Linked DNA regions of Diceros bicornis minor. Each later gene encodes a partner of the first gene's protein in a complex. Links are inferred from orthologs where the notes say so. Each region holds a gene or a part of one and is shown on either strand. Other genes may lie near its edges.

Region 1 (11,369 bases):
CTCCAGCAGGCCGCACAGCAACACATCCAGCAGCAGCTTCTAGCCAAGCAAGTAAAGGCCTTTCCAGCCTCTGCTGCCCTGGCCCCAGCCACTCCAGCCTTGCAGCCTATCCACATTCAGCAGCCGGCCACAGCCTCTGCCACCTCCATCACAACTGTTCAGCATGCCATCCTGCAACATCACGCTGCAGCAGCTGCTGCTGCCATTGGCATTCACCCCCACCCCCATCCCCAGCCACTTGCCCAAGTACATCATATTCCCCAGCCCCACCTGACCCCCATTTCTTTGTCCCACCTCACTCACTCAATCATCCCTGGCCACCCTGCCACCTTTCTCGCTAGCCATCCCATCCACATCATTCCCGCCTCAGCCATCCATCCTGGGCCCTTCACCTTCCACCCTGTCCCACATGCTGCCCTCTACCCTACCCTACTTGCCCCACGGCCTGCTGCAGCAGCTGCCACTGCCCTCCACCTTCACCCACTACTTCACCCCATCTTCTCAGGTCAGGACCTGCAGCACCCCCCCAGCCATGGCACATGAGTTGGGGGATGGGAGCCCAGGTAGGGCCAGGGAAGGTGACCCATAAATCTTCCCTTGGGGGTGTTGAGCCATTAATACCAGCAAGTAGAAGCTGGGATGGGCAGTGTCTGACAGCCAAAGAATCGAGTTTTGGCTTGCAGGGGTGGTTTTAGATTTGAGGTTTGCTTTAGGTTTACTATCAGGGATTATTTTTTTTTTCTCCTTCCTCCTCTCTGTCCCTCCCTCTCCTGTGTTTCTAAGCTAGGGAACACCAGTAAGTGCTACCCACCTCTCTGCGGCAACATCTCCAAACTGTTGAGTTTAGATGCTTCCCTCCTCCCTCTACTTTTTATCCTCTGCTCTTCCCTTCTATAAATTTTAAAACATTATCCTCCTCTGGCCGGCGGGTTGTCCATCTGGTCCTGCCTTCTCAGTATCTTTGACCATCGTTGGTGACTTTATGTTATCCTGGGTGAGGTGGAAAGGGAGTCTGACCTGGAACCAGATGCTACTCAGGCTGTATTCGATCCACTTCCCACACAAACAGGGAGCCACACATTTGGCACTGTTGTCCTCGTGTCCCTCATCCCAGAAGAGACATCTGCATATCCCAGAAAAGAAGATCCTATCATGAATAGAAGCTATGCGGAACATAGAGTCACCCATATGCTTCCCCAGAGAGGAGCTCATGTGTCTGAAGGGTGTATTTTCTTCTGTCATGTTGATGTTTCCTTCTTAATTTATAGGATTTTTTTTTAATGTAAAAAATTGCACTGAACTCTACAAACGTAAATGCTGCTTTTTGTAGCTCATATAAAAAAGGTCCCATATTTGTAGTATACTGCAATAATATTTTTTACATCCAGCTCTTTAAGTGATCCTTGTTCTGGTGGCTTTGTGTAAATATGTTTGCCCTAGTTGAATTAAGAAACTTTAAAAGTTATAAAATGAAAACAAAAATAAAGTATTTGTTTTCTGCTAGATGCAAAAATGACTAAGCATGTATATTTTATCAAGCTCATGTATTTTTTGAAGTTATGAACTATAAAAATGATAAAAGGAACATTGTTTAACATTTTTTGCTGGGACAAAATGGTTGGTAATTTACAGTAAGTGGCGTCCCCAGCAGTGGGATTTTTTAACTAATGGGCAGCAGTCTGCTGAGGGCATCAGAGGGATACTCAGTTATGACAGTCTCCCTCATGCTTGGCTGTTTTATACAGAGAAACAGATGGGCCCCACAGAGGAGGAGGGAAAGATTCAAGAGCTTTATTCTCTGGAAGCAGTGAGGTTTATAGTGATTGTCTGGGGGATTCCTGGGTTTCCTGGGTGCCTTGTTCCCGGCGATCCATTTGCCTTCCTAGTACTTAGGCCCCCTCTGACAATTTTTTTTTTAATATGCCTTTTGGGTTGGCTAGAAATTGAAGGAGAAATAGACCTGGGGGATGATAGTGTTGGGACAGTTTTCTTCCTCCTCTTGTTGGGAGGTGAGCACATTTATAGATCCTGCAAATTTTTTTTGCTTCATAGTTTCCATGCCTTCTGGCCCGTTATAGTTTACACAGTAAAGATTCCTTTTTTCATTTCTCTCATGACACCTACCAGAGGAAGTACCACCTCAATTCCTCTTGCTCCTCTTGCCTTTCACCCAGGCTCAGACCTAATTAACACACTGACCCAAAGGTCTTGATATTGCAGGTCTCATCTGTGGTGTAGTTAGCAGTTCCCTGTTCAGCATTTCCCTACCTATTCCTGTGGCTAGAATTGGTTAGGTGGTCACCTGACAGGAAAAACAAACCCTGCTTACCTGGGCCAAGGCTCTGTGTCTGCCTTTCTTCTCAAATTCCCAAAAGAAAAGGTTTTGAGTTTATGAGAAGCAAGTGCTGGGCAAACAGGGCTCTTGACTGAGCGTCCTACCTGTTCAGTGCTCCTCGTCTGGTTCAGAAGCATCACATTTTTGATAACTAGCACTGGAAAAATGAAATCGTCTGTTTGAAGTGAAGGAACTCATTTTTCTTTGCCTTCAGCCCATGTAAATATTTAAATGATACAGTATTAACACTTTTGTGCTGCTTCCCATTAGCTTGTAGATTGAGCCATACTCTGGCTGCCTCTGCCTTCCTGGGGGCAGTTTTCTTTAACTTCCAGGATAGTGATTTTAAAACTTAAAAAAAAGGAACAACAAAATAAACCTATCCTTACTTACAAGCATAACAGATTGTATTTATCACATATGATAGAGATATATATGCTGTAAAATTAGGGAAAGGAACTTTCTAATAAACCAATGATTTGTGGAAACTTAGCAGAGTCTGTCGTGATTGTTGCCCCATCCACAGAAGTGGGGAAGGAGTGGAGTTACGGGTTACAAATAACATCATCTTTGAAGTGATCAAGGAATAGATTCTTATGAACCAGTTGTTTATATTTGGAATTGTGCTTCTCAAAGCTCAGGCTGCCCAAGTAGAGGGGAAAGATTATGGCTGTGGGAGGAAGTAATAGTAGTTAAGTTTCTCTCAGTCATAGGTAGATGTCTTGGAGGAATGTGCACCTCCTCTCCACTCTCCCATAAGGATTTTCTTCTGTATCTACCTTTTTCCTCATTTTAGAAGATATTCTGTATATAGTAGAATGTATGGTATGTAGGTGCTTACTAAATGGGTTTGGAATTTCTGGCTTTGATTTTTTAGGATTTTGGATGAACTTCAGGGCAATGGGATTATAAGAGTCATCCGCCTGGCCTTTTGCCTTCCAGATGGAGTTCTGTACCAGAACCAGTCTTGCATTCTCCTCAACCCTTTAATACCGCTACAGTGCTTGAGAGCTACCTGGTAAAAGGAAATAAGCCCTAATGGTTACTGAGCAGATAAAAGCTATCTTCTGTATCACAAAATCACAAAAGGCAGAAAGTTTAGCATCAAAAGCTAACCATAGATTTGTAGTGATAAATTAATTTCTCTTCCTTGGCCTTTCAGGAAGGAATAGTAGATGTCTATTTCTTTCCTACTCTCTCATACAGCTGTTCTCCCTTTGACTAAAGAGAAACTATTCAACTTGAACCTTGGGTTGGATGCTCAGATCTGCCTATTTTCCTAAAATAGGAAAATCCCTGCCCAGAAAGAAAGGATGTCAGGAAATGAAGAGTGATTTCCTGCGCAGGCAGGGTGTCAGTGACCTGGCAGGCAGACTGGCCTGTAGAGAGTATGCTATGTGAAGGTATGTGCAGCGGCCTGATTCCACTAAGGGTTCTGCCTGTTTCAGCCACTCGAGCTTGACACGTGGAAGTACTCCCTCTTCTACACCCTCAATAACTAATTCAGGCCTTGTTAACCATTGCCATTCTTATTTGGCAGAGATACCTTCACTTCTCCCTTATCAACTCATGTCTGAATTATTGCAGAATTTTCCTGGCTGGCCTCCCTGACTCTAGAATCTAATTCCCTGTCCCATGTAAACTCACTGGCTTTTCAAAATCTGAGTGCAGTTCATTTTGTATTCACTGCTTCCCAGTAAAATTATAAGCTCTGAGAGGACAGGGACTGATTCTTATACTTGCTTTTTTCTTAACCCCTTAGAGTGTTCTACATAGTGCTGAACACATAGTAAACATTTTCATTATATGTTCAAGAAAGATGAGCAAAGTAAAATACCATTAGCTGAGGATTATGCATCAGGATTTAGCAAGGAAACATCAAAGATGATAGACGATTTTTTCTATATATCCTCTACATTACCTAGCTCAGTGCCAGGCACATAGAAATTCAATAATTGCTGACTTATTGAAGCCTTAACAGAACTTTGAGTTCGTTGAGGGATTCTAGGACTCAGGCCGATAGGATGGGAAAGTGGGAGCAATGTGTCAGCACTCCTCTGCCTGCTATCTCAGAAGGGAGGTCAACCCAGCTCTGACCCTGAAGGGACACACATGAGGAACAGAATCCTTATTGAATACCAAACCCCTCTCGCTTCCCAAATCTGATCCTCCACCTGTTTCCAATTTTGGTTAATGGTACCACAGTCCTACCAGCCAGCCATGCAACAAAGTTTTGAATTACTATTGACACCTCACTACCACATCCAGTTACTGCCTGTGAATCTCTGCTCTCTTTTGTTCCTGCTGTCAGTACCATGGTTCAGGCCTCATCACCTTTAGCCAAGAGAACTACAGTTGCTATCCATCTTCCCACTAAGTCTTGCCTCTTCCAGTTCCTTCCATCCACAGGCAGCCAGTGTAATCATCCAAATTGGAGCACAATTGATCAATGTATCTCTTATTCCCTGACAAAAATCTTTATGATTCTCCCATCTCCTACAGATTAAAGTTCAAATTGCTTAATATGACATTCAGGGACCTCCAATGATTTGACCCCAGTCTTCCATTCTACCCTCATGCCCCAGTGCACCCCTTTAAACACCCTATGCTGAGTCAACTACTTGCCCTTCTGTATAATTGGCCTCTATGTTCTTCTGCCACTCTCTTTGCTTGTTATTTCCTGTGCCTAAAAACCACTTCATTCTCTGACAAAAAGCAACATAGTGTAATGGTTAAGAATGTGAATTCAAGCACAAATGTGCTTGAATCCTAAGTTTTGCCACCCATTGGCTGTGTAAACTTGGGCAATTGACCTAAAATTCTCTGTGCCACAGTTTTTGTGTTTATAAAATAAGCATAATAGCACCAATTTCATTGGGTTGTAATAAGGAGCAAATGATATAAATGATTTCAGCTAGGTGTAATTGCCCTTTTCAAGGTATGCTTTCCTATCCCTCTGCCACAGTTCTGTGTGTGCATGTCTTAACTCCCTCTGGACTAAGTTCTCTAAGGATCTTTGACAACTATCTTTGTATCCCTTTTCACTCAGGGCCTTGAACAGAATAAATACGTATTAAAAACTTTAGTGAAATGTGAGTTAACATTGGGCTACACAGTATATACCAGTAATACAATACCACTCAGTTGAGGACAGGACACTAGCAGGGTGAAAGGTTGAGTTAAGTATTCATTCCAACAAATGTCTTACATGCCTACCATGAGCTTGGCACTAGGAATTCAGCAGTGAAGAAGGCCCAGACTGAAATTCAAGGAGCTTGTAACCTAGTAAGAGATAGGATTTTGAGCTGTGCGCTGAGGTGGTGAATTATGAGAGAAAGGAAGGAGCTGAAGGGATTCCAGAATGGCACAGGGCAGCTGGGCAGGATAAGACGATGGTTAAACATGATCAGAAAATATAGATCAGGGGCCGGCCCTGTGGCGCAAGTGGTTAAGTCCGCACACTCCGCTGCAGCGACCCGGGGTTCGCAGGTTGGGATCCCGGGTGCACACAGACACACTGCTTGTCAAGCCATGCTGTGGCAGCGTCCCATATAAAGTAGAGGAAGATGGTCACGGATGTTAGCCCAGGGTCAAAATTCCTCAGCAAAAAGAGGAGGATTGGCATCGGATGTTAGCTCAGGGCTGATCTTCCTCACAAAAAAATAAAAAAATAAATGAAAAAAATTAAAAATTAAAAAAATATATAGATCAAAAGGAGGATGTGGCTATATTCCTTTACCTCTAGCAGATCTCTTGAATTTCCTTCCTGAGCACCTGCTTTTTTGGGAAGACATGCAGCACTGTTGAGATTTGTCACTCCTCTTCCTCTCATCCATAGAAAATGACCTTGCCTTTCTGCTCACAACTACTCCTCTTTCCACTATGTGACTCCTTGTTTGCATCTTCCATCCTCAGTGCATGTTTCCATTCGGTCTGTCTCTCAGCAATACCTACTATATGTTGGGCTCTTGGCTAGACCTTGGGGCTGCAGAAAAGAACCGTGCTTTCAAGGCACTCATGGACACAATCCAGTGAACAGACCATGACTAAACCGTGTGATTGGTGTTGTGCCCATGTGTGTTAACCCCAGGGTGCCAGCCTGAGCAGTCGAGAGAGGCTTCCCCTAGGCAATGACTCCACTAGAATTGTCTTGATGGTTAGACAAGAGCTCTGTCACCCAAGAAAAAGTGAGGGCCTGCCTTGAGAAACTGAACAGCTGGTGCATAATCTCAGAGCCTGTAAGCCAGAATACCCTGGAATAACTCCACTTTATCTCCATCTCCTTTCCTCTCGGGCCAAGATCCATTCACCACCCCTTTCCCAGCACTGGCTGCACTGCTGTGGCCACATTAAGACTTGTCCCAACATGGAAGACTGAGGAAGCTGTTGCACCAATATGGCTGACTGAAGCTGCCCTAGGCCCTAGAAGGAGGAAGTGGATAAGTACCTTATCCAAAAGGATACAGCAGCCTCGGGTCTTATCAGGGGGCAGCAGCTTCCTTACTCCTTCCCCCACCTCTGACCAAGTCAAAACGTGCCACAGCAGTGCAGGCAGCTGGGAGGGGCTGGAGCAGGACGAGCTGTAGAACTGTGGGCTAGAGCGGAGCTGTATGCACCAGTTAGTTCATGGTTGCACTATCCCAAGCAGAAAGCAATGGTGCCTTTAGACTAGCACGGTAGTAGCAGAAATGGGGTGAAGATTCAAGAGATGCAGTTGAGAGGCAGAACCAACAGGACTTGGTGATAAAGTTCTCTCAGGAAAAGGGAGGAGTCATGGCTTTCAGCCATAAGCATCCACCCCCAGTATGGCCTCACTCCCTTCCTGGCAATCCTAGAAACCAAATGGGTCCAGGGCCGGTAGCCCTTATGCTCTGCCTGCTGCTCAGCAAGTGGGTTCCAGTTTGATAAGAGAAGACTTCCTGTGGTGAAAACTGAAAGGAAGAGGAAGGAGCTAGCCCATTCCTGCCTAGGAGGTTGTGGGAGAAGGAAGATGGCCAGAGCTTTGTGTCCACTTCATGTCCTCTGGCTTCTGGAGTGGATGCAGCTGCTCTTGGGACCCGGTACAGCCCCTCCAGCCTGGGCCTTGAACCTGGACCCACTGCAGGTCACCTTCTACACAGGCCCCAATGGCAGCCACTTTGGGTTTTCACTGGACTTCTACAAGGACAGCCGTGGGAGGTGAGCCTTGGGGGAGGTTTGGGTGTGGGGAGAGAGAAGGACTCCCACACCATCACTGCTTCTGTGGGCCTTGAGTTCCCCACTTATGATAGAAGTTGAGCAAAATGACTTCTAGGGTCTATGAGTTCTTGTTAGGAATACTGAGGAGGGACCGCCTCAGGTGAGGGTGTCAGGGAGGGTCACCAGTGGAGACATGGGCACTGAAACTACAACAAGAACAAGGGAAGACAAAAGTTGATGCCTTATTTTTTTTCCCCAAGTGTCAGTTGTATGTATCAATTCTCATCCCCTTGAAATACAGAAAGGAGCACATGTTTTAAATTGACTTGCAAAACTATAAAATTGTCTACCCACCGCAACCTTGCTTCTCTACTCCACTCCCTCATCCCCATCAAAATTATAGGTATTTGAAAAGCAGCAATAGACCATTAGTGGTTGGGATTGATCAGGCTGCAAAATCGGACTGACAAGATTAGAGTCCTGGCCCCTCCTCTTTATAGTAACTACCCTGAGCTATTAATTATTGTGGTGGACATTGTGATGCCCAGCTTCAGGGAGTGGCAATGGCAGATAGACTTCAAGTATCAGCCCCTAGGGGAATTTCCTCTGCTGAAGAGACCCAGCTACCCCAAAGTCAAGTCCCCTTCCTAATGTGGCCTACAATCAATGACTGATCAATGAGAAGTGTGGAGGCAGAAGAGGGCTGTAAGGGTCTGACCCTCTCACCTTAACTTGGGGCAGTTCTGAAGGGTCCTTCTAGCTCCAGAGCTCTCAGGGTGTGGGCCTATGATTGTCATTGGGCCTGAATCTCAACTCAACTCCTTCCTCTGCCGACTCCTGCTTCTTTCCCCACCTTTCCACAGATATTGGTTCATGGACACTACTTAATTACATCCTGCACGCTAAAAAAAAAATATATATATAGCATTTTTTTGAGCACTTGTTATTGTGTTATTTGGCTGGCACCATGCTGACCGTCCGTCATACATTTATTTCATTTACTTGTGATGGCATTGATTGGTTGCTACGGTCCCCATTTTATATATAGCAGAGCTGTGATTTGAACCTAGATCTACTAGAGTCCTCAGCAATATCAGCATCCCACCCACCACTTTAGAGGTGCCCACTGGCTTCCCTAATTCTTTACCATTAAAACTAGCTCTCAAGGCGCCAGCCGGTGGCTTAGCGGTTAAGTGCGCACGCTCCGCTACTGGCAGCCGGTGTTCGGATCCCAGGCACACACTGACGCACCGCTTCTCCGGCCATGCTGAGGCCGCGTTCCACATACAGCAACTAGAAGGATGTGCAACTATGACATACAACTATCTACTGGGGCTTTGGGGAAAAAAAGGCGGAGGACTGCAATAGATGTTAGCTCAGAGCCAGTCTTCCTCAGCAAAAAGAGGAGGATTGGCATGGATGTTAGCTCAGGGCTGATCTTCCTCACAAAAAAACCCAAAAAACAAAAAAAACAACTAGCTCTCAGGAAGGAATCTGGTAACAGTCTAACAGTCTCCAGAAAGAAGTTAGTAAACTGCTGGCTTTTGGTGGAGGGTGGGGAGTGTAGATGGTGTATGGCTTAGGAGGTCTTTTTCAGCAAGGATAACAAACCTCTGGTGTTCAAATCAAACCAAATGGTTATAGTCCCACCTTGACCCTTGATTCGCTGGGTTACTTTGGGAATGTGATTTCCTCTCACTGGGAGTCAGTTTCATTGGCCATAAAATGAAAAAGCTGGCCTAGATGGTCTGTGAAGTCTCACTGAGGAAAGATGATCCAATGCTCCCCAAGGCACACTGCCCTTCCGGTAGTGCTCCCAGCGCAGGCACCGGGCATGGGGTATCCAAAATCCACGCGGCGCTCATCCAGCTTTCTTACGCAGCGTGTCCATCGTGGTGGGCGCCCCGCGGACCCTGGGCCGCAGCCAAGAGGAGACGGGCGGCGTTTTCCTGTGCCCCTGGAAGGCCAAGGGCGGCCAGTGCACCTCGCTGCCCTTCGACCTCAGTGAGTCTCGCGCAAGGAGGGAAAGCGAGGGGCTAGAGGGAGGGTGGACAGCCGAGCTTCAGCGCCCCACCCTTTCTTGTGCCTTCCAGATGATGAGACCCGAAAAGTAAGCTTCCAAACTTTTCAAACCTTCAAGGCTCGGCAAGGACTGGGGGCGTCGGTCGTCAGCTGGAGCGACTACGTTGTGGTGGGCGCCGCGGGACCGGGCACAGGCAGCAGACGGGGCAGGGACACGTGGAGTGGGGGAAACCCGAGACTCGCCCCTTCCTCACTCTCCTGTGGCCCTGCCCCAGGCCTGCGCCCCCTGGCAGCACTGGAACGCCCTAGAAAAGACCGAGGAGGCTGAGAAGACGCCGGTAGGTGGCTGCTTCGTGGCTCAGCTCGAGAATGGCCGCCGTGCGGAGTACTCGCCCTGTCGAGCCAACACCATGAGCAGCCGTTACAGTAGAGGATACATGGGTGAGCGTCGCTCTCTGTTGTGGCTCCGCCCACTCGCGGCCACTTAGCCCCGCCCTTAATCTGATCTTCCCAGCGCCCCAAGGTCCTGCTTTCCATCCGGTGTCGCCCAATGGCCCAGCTCCTGGCCACGCCCCACCCCGCCCCGCGCCCATTCAAGTCCTCGCCTCTATGTTACCGCGGCCCCCACCCCTAGACGGCTCCGCCCCCGCCCCAGGCTCCAGGGCACGCTTCTTGATCCGCCCCTTCGCTGACCCCTCCTCCCTGCCTCGTCCCGCAGACAGGCGCTACTGCGAAGCCGGCTTCAGCTCGGTGGTCACTCAGGCGAGTAGAGAGCATACGCGGCGTGGGGGCGGCTGCCAAATAAGGACCCCTCTCACCTCCAGGACTTCCCTTTCAGGCTGGGGAGCTGGTGCTTGGGGCTCCTGGCGGCTATTTTTTCTTAGGTACGTGCCCATCCGTACACCTTCCCTTCTCTCTGCCTGGGGTCTCCAGGCCCCCACACCGCTGTCCCTCGCTCCCTAGGTCTCCTGGCGCGGGTTCCAATTGCCGATATCGTCTCGAGTTACCGCCCGGGCACCCTCTTGTGGCACGTGCCCAACCAGAGCTTCACACTCGACTTCGGCGGACAAGAGTACTTTGACGGCTACCGAGGTAGCCCGGGCACCTCCCTTCTAGTCTTCCCAGCACTCTGTCACCGCCCTCCCCCGCTAGTCAGGTCCTGCCCCTGCGGGAGCGCCCCCATGCCAACCCCTGCTGGCTAGCCCCAGCGCCTCTCCCTCTGCTCCCACAGCTTCCCCCACTTACCGCCCAAGTGCCCTACGCCACACCTCGCCCTTCACCTCGCCCTTCCCGCTCTGGATTCGCTGCGCGGCCTAGGGCAGGTCTTGGCCTGTCGGGGGCCTCAGTTTTCCTTTCTACAATGTGGAGTTTAGACTGGATGGTCTCGGAGTCTCCTCTTTCTTCGTTGCCTTCCTCAACCCCCTCCCTGCTTCGCCCTCCCGGAAAGACTAATTCTCGCTCTGTCTTCAGGGTACTCGGTGGCCGTGGGCGAGTTCGATGGAAATCTCAGCACTACAGGCAAGGAATGCACTTAGTCAAGGGCCAGGGTTGGGGAGCCCAGCCTGGGGAGGGGCACCTCCAAGCCCCGCACCGAAATCAACCCTGGGTGCGGAATGGCGGGCGGAAGGCGGGTAGGTTCAAAGGACCTCATTCACTGGGCCCGGCTCTCCCCAGAGTATGTCTTCGGTGCCCCCACCTGGAGCTGGACCCTGGGAGCGGTGAGTGCCCCCTGCCCTGCCACTTGGCATCCCAAAGTCCCTGGCTCCACTCCTCAGGCTAACACCACCCCCCACCCCAAACTTCCTGCCCTTTCTCACCTGGAGCGGGAGGCTGT
Region 2 (10,567 bases), about 2.0 Mb from region 1:
GTCTTCACTAACTGAACTAAGAAACACTAGGTGGAGGGGAAGTAGTCTTTTTATGGGAACATGACAGAAAAACAAAAAGGAAGACTTACAGTGGGTTGTTTTTTACAGAGATGCTACCAAAAAATTTAAAAGGTAGAATAGCCCAGGTTTATTTAACAGCTTCTGGCTCTAAGGATTGTGACATACCATATTTGGCCACAAAATATCCATTGCTTTTAGGACCAAGAATAATAAAAGTGCTGGTTGCTGCAGAATCCTCTCCAATATCCTGAAGATATTACAACTTAGCACTTGGGAAATCTAATGGTTTTTACATGGCCCAAATGCATCCATCCAATTAGAAAATTTAGAAATTGAAAGTTGGATTCAGGTTTAACGCTTATAGGCCCCTGCTTTCAGGGTGACTGTCTCAGCACCTGAGGAAGATGGAGCGGCCTCAGATAGCCTCCTAGTGTTCTGATACATGCAACAACATGGATGAACCTCTAATGCACTATGCTAAGTGAGAGAAGCCAGAATTGAAAGGCTATATACTGTATGATTTCATTTTTGTGTTACTCTGTAAAAGATAGAACTGTAGGGACAGGAAACAGATCACTGGTTGCCAGGAACTAAAGATGATGATAGGGACGTGATGACAAAGGAGCTTGAGGGAACTTTTGAGGGTGATGGAAATATTCTGCATCTTGAATATTGTGAAGGTTACTTGACTATCTGCATTTGTCAAAATTCAAAGAACTGTACACCTAAAAAGCATGAATTTTATTGTACATAAATTATACCTCATCAAACCTAACTTTAAAAAAAAAAAACGTGTTCCTGGAGATACTGTGTACATGGAGAGAAAGGCAGATTTTATAAATTTTTTACTGGTGAGTTTCACATTTAAATAAACACCAGCAATTTACACAGGGAGAACAGACAATGTCATTTCACTGCTCCTACCTGCATTTCCACTAGTGACCTGAGCTCCATCAGGCACAATGATCTGCCCACTCAGGAAGGGCCGGGGTTCGGAAGAAGGGAAAAGATAATGAAGTGAAGTAGCAGGCCAGCTCTGTGGGCAGCAGAGGGGGCTGGGTCAAGCCAAGTGGTTTATCCCTGAAGCTGCTCAGTCACTCCCCTAGTTAATTATCTGTCTGCTGATTCATGAGTTGTGGTTCCTGTGGGCATGCTTCCTGGCTATTCCTGCCAACAAGGGCAGAAGGATTTCTAGGGCTGGGAGGGGATGATAACCAGAGATCCCCAAGTGGGGTGGGGAGTTGCAGAGGAGGAATTTCTACTAGGAAACTCCAGAGTCATATCCAGACTCCCCCTCCTCACTGCTGCCTCCTTGTCCCATCTTATGCTGCCCCCAGAAGACCTCTTGCCACTCACACTCACAATTTTGAGGTGGGCAGAGAAGAATGCTGTCCTCCTGTGTGTCTCCTCCCAGGAGGGGAAAAAAAGGTAGACAATTCACAGAGGGTCCCCTGAGTTTCCAGCACCCTCAGATCAGAGGTCTAAATGGCACAATAGCACAGAGATCCAAATGCCCAAAGAACCCACGGTCTCAGCTACATTCTAATATCCTCCAGAATGCCCAGAGGGAGCATTTGAGGATCTTCTGTGAATGAATGCTGATATTGAAATGTTGTATTTCTTAAACTGAGGCACATCACCTCTAGATGTCTTTCTATAGCATTCCATAGATATTTATTTTGGCCGCCTATGTGCCAGGACTGGGCATAGAGTGTTGAACAAATAGACATGTCCTTCTCCTCATGGAACCTGAAATCTTGTGAATGTCTTTTACTTTTCTCTTTTCCCAAGACAGGACTTCAGGTTTTCTCATGAATAAAGCAAATAGATGAGCCTCTCTCCTCCTTGGCCTCTTCTGTGGGTTCTTGCTGGGTGAGAGTGGCTGAAATATGCCAAGCCACCAATGCGGAAGGGTTGAAATAAAAAGGGGGCTCCTGTCACATAGGTGTGGGAAAAGGGTCCCCATTGGCCTCATTCTGGGAGCCTGGATTGCACTCATGCATGAAGCAGGGCAGCTCTTGCCTCCAATCCAAGGTAGATACCATGGATAGGAAGAAGAATGACAATAGTAGTTGCCATGTATTGATTATTTATTTTGTGCCTTTATCTCATTTAATTGGCATAAGCATAGAAGTATTATTTTCTCTGCTTTACAAATGAGGAAACTGAGGACTCAAGAGATTGAGTAACTTGCCCAGGGTCACACAGCCAATAAGAGGCAAAATCAAGAATTAAGCCCACATGTGACTGGCTTTAAACCATAGCTGTCCCTTCCCCCAGCCAACAAGCCTTCCTCCCACATCTTTCCAGGCCCTGAGGAGTTCCTGCAGAGGAACCTTTGACTGGAGAGTTTCCAGGATGTAAACACCAGAGGAGAAATCAGCACCTCAGCTCAAAACTCATCATAAGTACTTAGATGGTGATAGCAAACAAAACTTATCCATTAGGTCTCAGGTTAGAATAAAGACCTATACATGGGGAAGCCACAAAACCCAATACTTCTTGGATGAAGGTAAAAAGATCATCTTTGTACTCAAATTCCAAAACTCAATTCTACCCTCAAACAACCTCTCTTCTCCCTATACAAGACTCTCCTACTCTGGGACAGCCTCTCTATGCCACTCCTACCCAGCTCTTTCTGTGTCCCTTAAACATTGTGTGTCCCAACACAGCTCTCCTACTCTCATCCTGCCACCTGCTTCCCCAGGGATCTGGTGACACCTGCAACCCAGCCACCAACACTGGGGTGGGGGATTTAAATATAATCAAAACTGCTTTTACTGGGGGCTTATTACTCTGGCAGTCTCATTCTAGAGCCCGAGACTTAAATACTACTCTATCCTGCCTCTCAGAGGGAGCCTGGGGCTAGCTCAGCACAATCAGTCACCACTGCTGGAATCGCCCAATCACAACAAATCTGTGAAGAGACCTCCTAGAGGATATTTAATGTAAACTTAGGTATGTCAATACAATGGAATCCTATATAGATCATTGCAACTATGTAACCCAGATCAACAAAAGATATACTAGGAGTGAAGGGTGGAGGGAGAGACACTCAAATAACAAATACACTCTATCTTCACTAATATTGAACCAAGCACAATGCTAGGCTCTTTCTTATGTTACCTTACTTACTTCTAAAACTGAAAGAAAATATGATTAGACTCAGAAATCATCCAGAAATTCAGAAAGCTGTGGATGTGAAAAGAAAAGAAAGCAAAAAATGTTTTAAGTTCATAGAAGCAGGCATGTCCGTAGGAGACAGCTGAGCAGCCCTTCCGTAGTTCTCCACTGCCCCCATAAACAGCAGCAGCATGTGAACCAAGGCTCTAACATCTCCCAGGGCAGAAGGCTGGAGATTCACACTTCTGTGCCATGGTCATCAAGCTGCTCTCTGCAGGCTACAGACATCAATTGACATGTTTGGGCTTCTCTCACATGGGAAGTTTCAGCAATAATAGCTTAAAGAGCACCCTATATATCATTTGTAACTCCTCCGTCAAGATAGCGTTCATAGATTGTGGTGATGGTTTCACAGGTGTATATTATCTCCAAACTCATCAAGGTGTATACATTAAATATACACAGCTTTTTGTATGTCACTCATACCTCAATAAAGTGGTTTTTTAAAAAAGAGGTTAGCATAGGGCTGATCTTCCTCACACACACACAAAAAAAGATATTGCTGCCCTGTCCTGTATAATCTCTCTCTATATCTATATCTATCTATATCCACATACACACACAGTCTTGAAGGCAGTCATCAAAGTACTTTGATGTACCGATGATCAGTAAATCTCACTTTTTTTAATACATTCTGCAGGATCTAAATTATCTTACAATGAGTACTACTCCTTTCATTAAAAGTACATATATGCACATTTGTGCTTCCTCTGCAGAGGAATGGCCCCAGCCGACCAGGAGCCAGAGTTCTCCCTGGGAAGGTCACCAGGGCTGCGGAAGGACCAGGGGCAGCATCCCTGGGCTGTGCTCTGCTCTGCCCCTCCATCCTCTCCCCAGCACCAATGAGGCCGAATGCCAACCGCCTTGGCAGCTGATGGTGCGTGCAGCAGCAGGAGAGACAAAGCCAGGGATCCGAGCCAGCTCCAGGGACCCTTGGCGTGGCTCCTCGCACACATGGAGATCTTTTGGACGCAGTGTCTGTTCCGGAAGCAGAGGCACCGCTGCCACCCAGGAACACTGTGGGAGGCAGAGCCCTCAGCTTTCTCCGAATCGCTCCCGCTGGGTGCCACCAAGTATTTACACACACAAAAAAAAAAACTTGAGAAAAAGTGTAACACAAGGAGAAAGAGGGATGTCGAATAACTGGCAAAGCCGCGCGCGCGCTACACTCGCAGCCGAGAAGCTACAACCACATCCCTCCGCCAACGCGCGGGAACAGCCTCGGGAAGCCCCAGCTCGCCTTGCCTATTCCGGCCAGTCATTCCTCGCACGGCCGGGACCACTTGCGACGCGCGCAGCCGGGGCCGAACACGGGGCTCAGAAATGCGCCCACCGCACCGCGCACGGCGAGGCCGCCCGGGGCAGGCGCCTAACCCGGCTAATGGCTTCGGCGTCCCGGAGGACCTGCCCGTAGGTAGCCTCTCACCCTGCCACTGCGGGGTCGGGAAGGTCCCCAGCTCCGGGCTCCGACGACCCAGCCTGGCCCCGCGCAGGAGCCGCCCGCCCGGGTTTCCTCACTCCAAGTCTTCAAACTTGGCTGCGGCAGGACGCGCGGCGTGGATCACCGGAGAGCCGCGTCCCCGAGGCGCGGGAGCCTCACTCACCTCCGACGCCGACGCCCGCCAGCGCCCCCAGCACCAGCACAGCGGCCCAGAGCCGCCGCGCTCGCATCTCGTCCGCCCGCCGCCGTGCTCCGCCTCGGCCGCGCCCTCCCGCCCCACAGCGAGCAGCGGCGCCCGCGGCCACTTTTCCCGCAGCGGGAGGGGAGGGGACGCGGTGGGTGGGACGTAACGGGGCGGGCCGCGGACTCGCGCTTCCTCCCCGCTGGCCCTTTTCTGGACCCTGCCCCCGGGAGGGGGCGGTGGGAAACCGCGGCTCCTCTCTCACCGCTTAGCCTCCGGCGGTGAGGATCTGCCTCGTTGCGCATGAGAGGCGAGGCTGGGTCTGGAGGAGGGTCTCGGGCGCATTCTCCCAGGGTTGTGCTGGTCCCAGGGCTCCGCGCCCAGGCACTTGGTATGCTTAGAAAGGCCGGGAGCCTGTGGCCCCTCCTGACCTAGTCCCACCTCTCCGGGGACATCCACAGGGCTTTCTCTTTCGCGTGGATTCCTCAGGCACTTTCCCTCTGTGCCTTGAATTTCATTCATTCATACTTTCATTTGTTTAATTGACAAACCTGTTGAATGCCTACGCTGTGCTGGACACCAGTTTAGTCTCTTATTATTAACTAATTTTTCTCTTGGGTTAGTGTGGTTTTCCGGTAGACTGTAAGCCTTTTGAGGACAAGACTACATCTCAACCTTGTGTAAGCAGTGATGTTCATATAGGGCCTCTCTCTACAAATACTTGCTTGCACATATTAAGTATCTGAAAAAAGTTTCAGGACACAGTCAATATACTGCCTCCAAACTCACTTGATAAAGCTTTAGAGCTTATCGTATTTTCCTCAAAGGCCTCTTGCCTCCTCCCTGCCTCCCCCACAATCCTTCTTCTGGGTCCCTGAGTCTTCCCCAGTCTAGAAACCTCAGGATGCTCAAAGGGCTAAATGCTAGGGCTTTGAGCAGGAGGCCACCAGTGGCTGGGCTGGTGCAGGCTGCTGCAACGGGTAGCTCTAATGATGATAACAAGGCTTGAGGAGTCAGAGAGGATCTGGAGTTCTCACTAGCCCCTGGGCTCCCCTAAGGGCTTTCAGGCTGCCCCTGGGCTCCTCTAAGCCCTCTCCTGAGACACACAAGATGCCTGAAAACTGGCCCTGACTGACTCAGCTCAGCAGCCTCATCTCCCACCCTAGACCAGGAAGATACTTAGCATTCCCAAACACTTCATGCCTTTCCAGCTGAGTGATCTTCCTTCCTTTTCCCACCTGGAAAATTCCACTTATCTTTCAAAACATCTCAGATGTCATCACTTCCATGTAATCTTGTCTGATATCTCTCCTCCTCCAGCACCACCCTCTGCAGAGGTGAGCACTCCCTCCTCAGACCTCCCAAACACTAGGACACACCAAAATAGTAGCACACATCCTCAGAAGCGTCACTGGCAATTTGCAAGGGGCAGGGGAGGGGCCAGGGTAGCTGGGCTTCCTGATCTGGGCTTTGAGACTCCAGCACCATAGACCTCCCCTAGCTGGTGGAGGGCCTCTAGGCCAGAAGCCACTTCAACAGCGTTGTCGTTGCCCTGGTACAAAATCCAGGTCACACAGCCTGGTTGCATCTCTGCCTAGATAGATATTTACTTATTTGCTCAATTCTCATATATATAACCAACCTCCCAGTCACCTCAGTGTCTCCTCAGCCTAGCTCTGCTGGCACCAACCATTTGGGGTGGCCACTGGCCCAGCAAACATGCTGTCTGAGTCCCCAGTCTCTTCAACCCGAAGAACTTCCTTTAGCAAATATTGTGATGAAGGTCCACTGGCAACAAATATGCTCTCCTTTCATCTGTTTCACCCTCATTTTTAATGATATTTCTTAGATATGGATTCCTAGGTTGACAGGTGATTTTTTTTCTTGCAGTACTTTAAACATATTGTTCCATGGTTTCTGATAAATCAGCTATCGTTTACATTCTTGTCCTGTCTTTTCCCTCTGGCTTTTTTTTTTTTTTTTAATTTTTAATTTTGGAATCATTTACACTTACAGAAAAGTTGCAAAATGCTAGAGAAAGTTCCCTTTTATCCTTCACCCGGTTTCCCCTAATGTTAACATCTTGTATTACCATAACGTAATTATTGAACACAGGAAATTAACATTGATACAATGCTATTAACTAATCTAGATACAACATTTGAATTTTGCCAATCTTCCCACCAATGGGAAAATGTCTTTTTTCCAGTCTAGAATCCAATCCAGGATCCCATATTGTATTGTCATCATGTCTCCTTAGTCTCCTTCAATCTATGACATTTTCTCAGTCTTTCATCACCTTGACACTTTTGAAGAGTCTAGGCCAGTTATTTCGTAGTATGCCCCTAAGTTCGGGTTTGTCTGATGTTTTCTCATGATTGTATTGGGGCATTCTGGATGAGAATACTGCAAAAATGATGTGCCTTGTCAGTACATCATATCAGGGGGACAGGATGACAATATATCTTACTACTTATAAGGTTGACTTTGATCACATCGTTAAGGTGGTGTCTGCCAGTTTTCTTCACTATAAAAGTTACTATTTTTATTTTTGTAGTTGATAAATATTTTATGGGAAGATACTTTAATTCTTTGCAAATATCCTGTTTCTCTTCATACTTTTACCCACTAATCTTAGCATCCATCAATGGTTCTTGACTGCAATCAATTACTGTGGCGTTTGATTGATAGTAATTTTCTATTTCCTTTTTTCCTTCTACAGCTATTAATTGATATTCCAAATAAGAAATAGCTGCCCCTTCTCTCCCGTTTTTAAAATTCAATTATTTATATCAGTATGAATTCACGGATATTTATTTTATTCTGAGTTATAAGTCAATGCTATCATTATTTATTTTGTTGTTCAAATTGTCCCAGGTTTGTCTCTGGCTACTTTTAAGTTTTCTCTTTGTCTTTGGTTTTTCAGCAGCTTCTCTGTAAGGTGAATAAGCATTGTTTTCTTTGTATTTATCCTACTTGGGGTTGATGAGACTTTTAAATATATAAGCGGTTTATTTTTAACCAAATATAGGAACTTTTAGGGCAGGCCCCGTGGCTTAGCGGTTAAGTACACGTGCTCCGCTGCTGGTGGCCCGGGTTCAGATCCCGGGCGCGCACCGATGCACCACTTCTCCAGCCATGCTGAGGCCGCGTCCCACATACAGCACCTAGAAGGATGTGCAGCTATGACATACAACTATCTACTGGGGCTTCGGGGAGAAAAAGGGAAAAAAAGGAGGAGGATTGGCAATAGATGTTAGCTCAGAGCTGGTCTTCCTCAGCAAAAAGAGGAGGATTGGCATGGATGTTGCTGATCTTCCTTGGAAAAAAAAATATATATATATATATTGGAACTTTTTAGCTGTTATTTCAGTTATTTCATCAAATTTTTTCCTGCCTATTTTCTCTCTCCTTACCTTCTGAAACTCCAATTACAAATATTTTAGATATTATCTAAAAATTTATAATTATAAATTATATATATATATAAATTATACTTAAAATACATAAGTGATATATTTATAAATTATAAATTACATATAAGTAAGTGCATATATATATGCACGCCATCTTAGGCTCTGCACTGCAATTCAGAAAGTCCCCCCAGAAAGCCCAAGCTGGGCAGATGTAGGGTTCACCTATCACGTGTTTCCCTTCCCTCAAGGATTATAATTCTGCTTTGCCTATGTTCAATGTCTAAAGCAGTTCCTCAAATATTTTGCCTGAATTTATTGTTGTTTACTATGGGAGAGCCAGTCCTGTACCAGTCACTTTGTCATAGTCAGAAGCAGAAGTTCTGTGACTATTTACCTCCATCTCTTCCACCATTACTGGACAGTGAGATCCCTGAGTGCAGGACTGTAGTTGACTATCTTCATATTTCCTAGTATGCACTTAGTAAGTAAAAAAATCTTTTCCTATTTTTTGACTTCTTAGCAGCCCTCGATAGTTAATTTTAATAAAATATTAGCTGAGCAAAGACGTTGGGGGACCTGAGTGTCCATTCTGTGATTTGGCCAAGTGCCGTACTACCCAGTCAATATCACCACGGAGCGGTATCCAATGCAGACAGGTAGAAGAGTTTCCCCAAGATCCATTTAAGAGGCAAGAGTCACATTATCTGGCCCCTTGCCCGACTGTGGCCAGGCTAACACCAATATAGGGATCTTTTTCTTGTGCTCTCATCAACAGTCTGCCCCCTTGGGGAAGCCCCACTCCTATTAAGTTCCTCACTGTCACCACTGTAAGTTGGAGAAAACAGGTTTGTGGCCATTTCTGGACGTCTTGCCTTTAAGGTCATGCTGAATTCCCCATTGTACTGAGTCAGAAGGTCTCCGGAGTCAGGTCCTTGCCCCACCTCTTACTAGTTAGATGATCTTGAAATAGTCTCCAAATCTTCTCTATACTCATTTTCCTTATTTGTAAGAAATAACTATCTGTTCCCTGCCCTTTTCCCCATCCCCAATCCCATTCTACCCCCTCCCAAAATACACACATTGTTATGAGGTTCTATGAGGCCATGGATATGAAAGCCCTTTGGAATCTGAAAAGCACAGAAGAATATGTTCTTATTATTGTTATTATTTGTGGAGAGATTGTAGACCTCTCAACACAAATGCTTTCCTCTAGTTAAGGAGATTAAGTGTGGAGTAGCACACTGGTTCAGAATCTTCTCCTCCTACACATTTGGCAGGATGACCCAGCTGTTCCTTTGGCTTGAAGAAAAATGGGCTTTTCAGAGTCCACACTGACTAAAAATGACATAGCTTGGAATTTCTGGGCTCTGGGAGCTATCTGAGAAAGTACCCCTAATTTGTTTTTCTTTTCTTTTTTTTTTTTTTGCTGAGGAAGATTCACCCTGATCTAACATCTGTTGCCATTCTTCCTCTGTTTTGTGTGTCACAGCACGGGTGACAAGTGGTGTGAGTCTGTGCCCGGGATCCAAACCCATGAACCCAGGCTGCTGAAGCAGAGCATGTCAAACTTAACCACTATGCCACGGGGCCTGCCCCAGTACCCCCAGATTTTTATCAAGGTAGTACTGGAGGGATGAGCTCAGCCTTGGCATTAAACATTCATTCACAAGCACATATCAGTCACCTGCTGTGTGCCAAGTGCTTCTCAGGACACTGAGGATGCAGTAGTGAAGAACACCAGGCCCTTCCCTCTCAGAGCTCGAGCCCAGTTGGATCTGAGACAATCAACTTCTGTCTTGGAGTGCTACTCCTCCCTCATCCTCACGAGAGCCAGACCTTCTTCTGCGGAGAAGAAAAAATGAGAGCCCAAGGTCTTTCCATGCCAGCTCAGCATACAGGGTACCACGTGGCCAAGCCTGGATTCAAGCTCTTTGCCCACAAAGGGCATCACATGACTGTTCACACTCCATCTCAGACTAATCCAGACCCCTTCCCCATCCAACCCCCAAGCCAGGGTGATGCCTCATTCTGATAACAGATCTGCTACTTGGCTTCTGGCTCTGAATTCCTGTTCTCCTATCTTTCTAAATCCCTAGTCACCTTCCTTGGACCCCTGCTCCAGTGAATCCAAACATGCAGCTGGGCTCCAGAGGCATATTTTAGACCTCTCAGGCCCTCGTTACTCAGCTTCCTAAGAGAAAGAGTATTGTAAGGATTGCCTGCACAATAGGCAGGTGGCCAGGATTTGAATTCTGGCTCCACCATTTGCTAGCTCAGTGACCTAGTGGGCAAGTTGCTTAACTTCACTAAGCCTCAGTTTCCTGA

Evidence for each region.
Region 2: the proteins of ITGA2B (region 1) and ITGB3 are in contact, whole or in part, in a cryo-EM structure (PDB 8GCE), measured with the Homo sapiens proteins. The link is inferred for Diceros bicornis minor from reciprocal best matches to the Homo sapiens genes ITGA2B and ITGB3. Residues at the interface, in NP_000410.2 of Homo sapiens: Gln49, Phe52, Arg72, Trp141, His143, Asn145, Glu152, Ala153, Glu154, Lys155, Pro157, Arg184, Phe191, Tyr197, Glu199, Phe202, Pro217, Tyr221, Phe222, Phe262, Asp263, Tyr265, Tyr268, Thr290, Trp293, Thr294, Gln315, Met316, Ala317, Tyr319; in NP_000203.2 of Homo sapiens: Ser188, Pro189, Tyr190, Tyr192, Ile193, Ser194, Pro195, Pro196, Tyr204, Asp205, Met206, Arg242, Asp243, Pro245, Lys279, His281, Ile282, Ala283, Leu284, Asp285, Arg287, Leu288, Ala289, Gly290, Val292, Gln293, Pro294, Asn295, Asp314, Tyr315.

The regions. Positions count from the first base shown.
Region 1 is NC_080757.1:42,952,995-42,964,363, reverse strand, and holds the start of ITGA2B (integrin alpha-IIb), read left to right. Parts: upstream 1-7,301; 5' UTR 7,302-7,325; coding exon 7,326-7,513; intron 7,514-9,395; coding exon 9,396-9,517; intron 9,518-9,606; coding exon 9,607-9,704; intron 9,705-9,810; coding exon 9,811-9,976; intron 9,977-10,253; coding exon 10,254-10,297; intron 10,298-10,373; coding exon 10,374-10,419; intron 10,420-10,498; coding exon 10,499-10,627; intron 10,628-11,005; coding exon 11,006-11,053; intron 11,054-11,209; coding exon 11,210-11,253; intron 11,254-11,369. Other genes in the region: GPATCH8 (G patch domain-containing protein 8), read left to right, coding at 1-543. UniProt on the Homo sapiens protein: Integrin alpha-IIb/beta-3 is a receptor for fibronectin, fibrinogen, plasminogen, prothrombin, thrombospondin and vitronectin. It recognizes the sequence R-G-D in a wide array of ligands.
Region 2 is NC_080757.1:44,910,344-44,920,910, reverse strand, and holds the start of ITGB3 (integrin beta-3), read right to left. Parts: upstream 4,880-10,567; 5' UTR 4,876-4,879; coding exon 4,809-4,875; intron 1-4,808. UniProt on the Homo sapiens protein: Integrin alpha-V/beta-3 (ITGAV:ITGB3) is a receptor for cytotactin, fibronectin, laminin, matrix metalloproteinase-2, osteopontin, osteomodulin, prothrombin, thrombospondin, vitronectin and von Willebrand factor.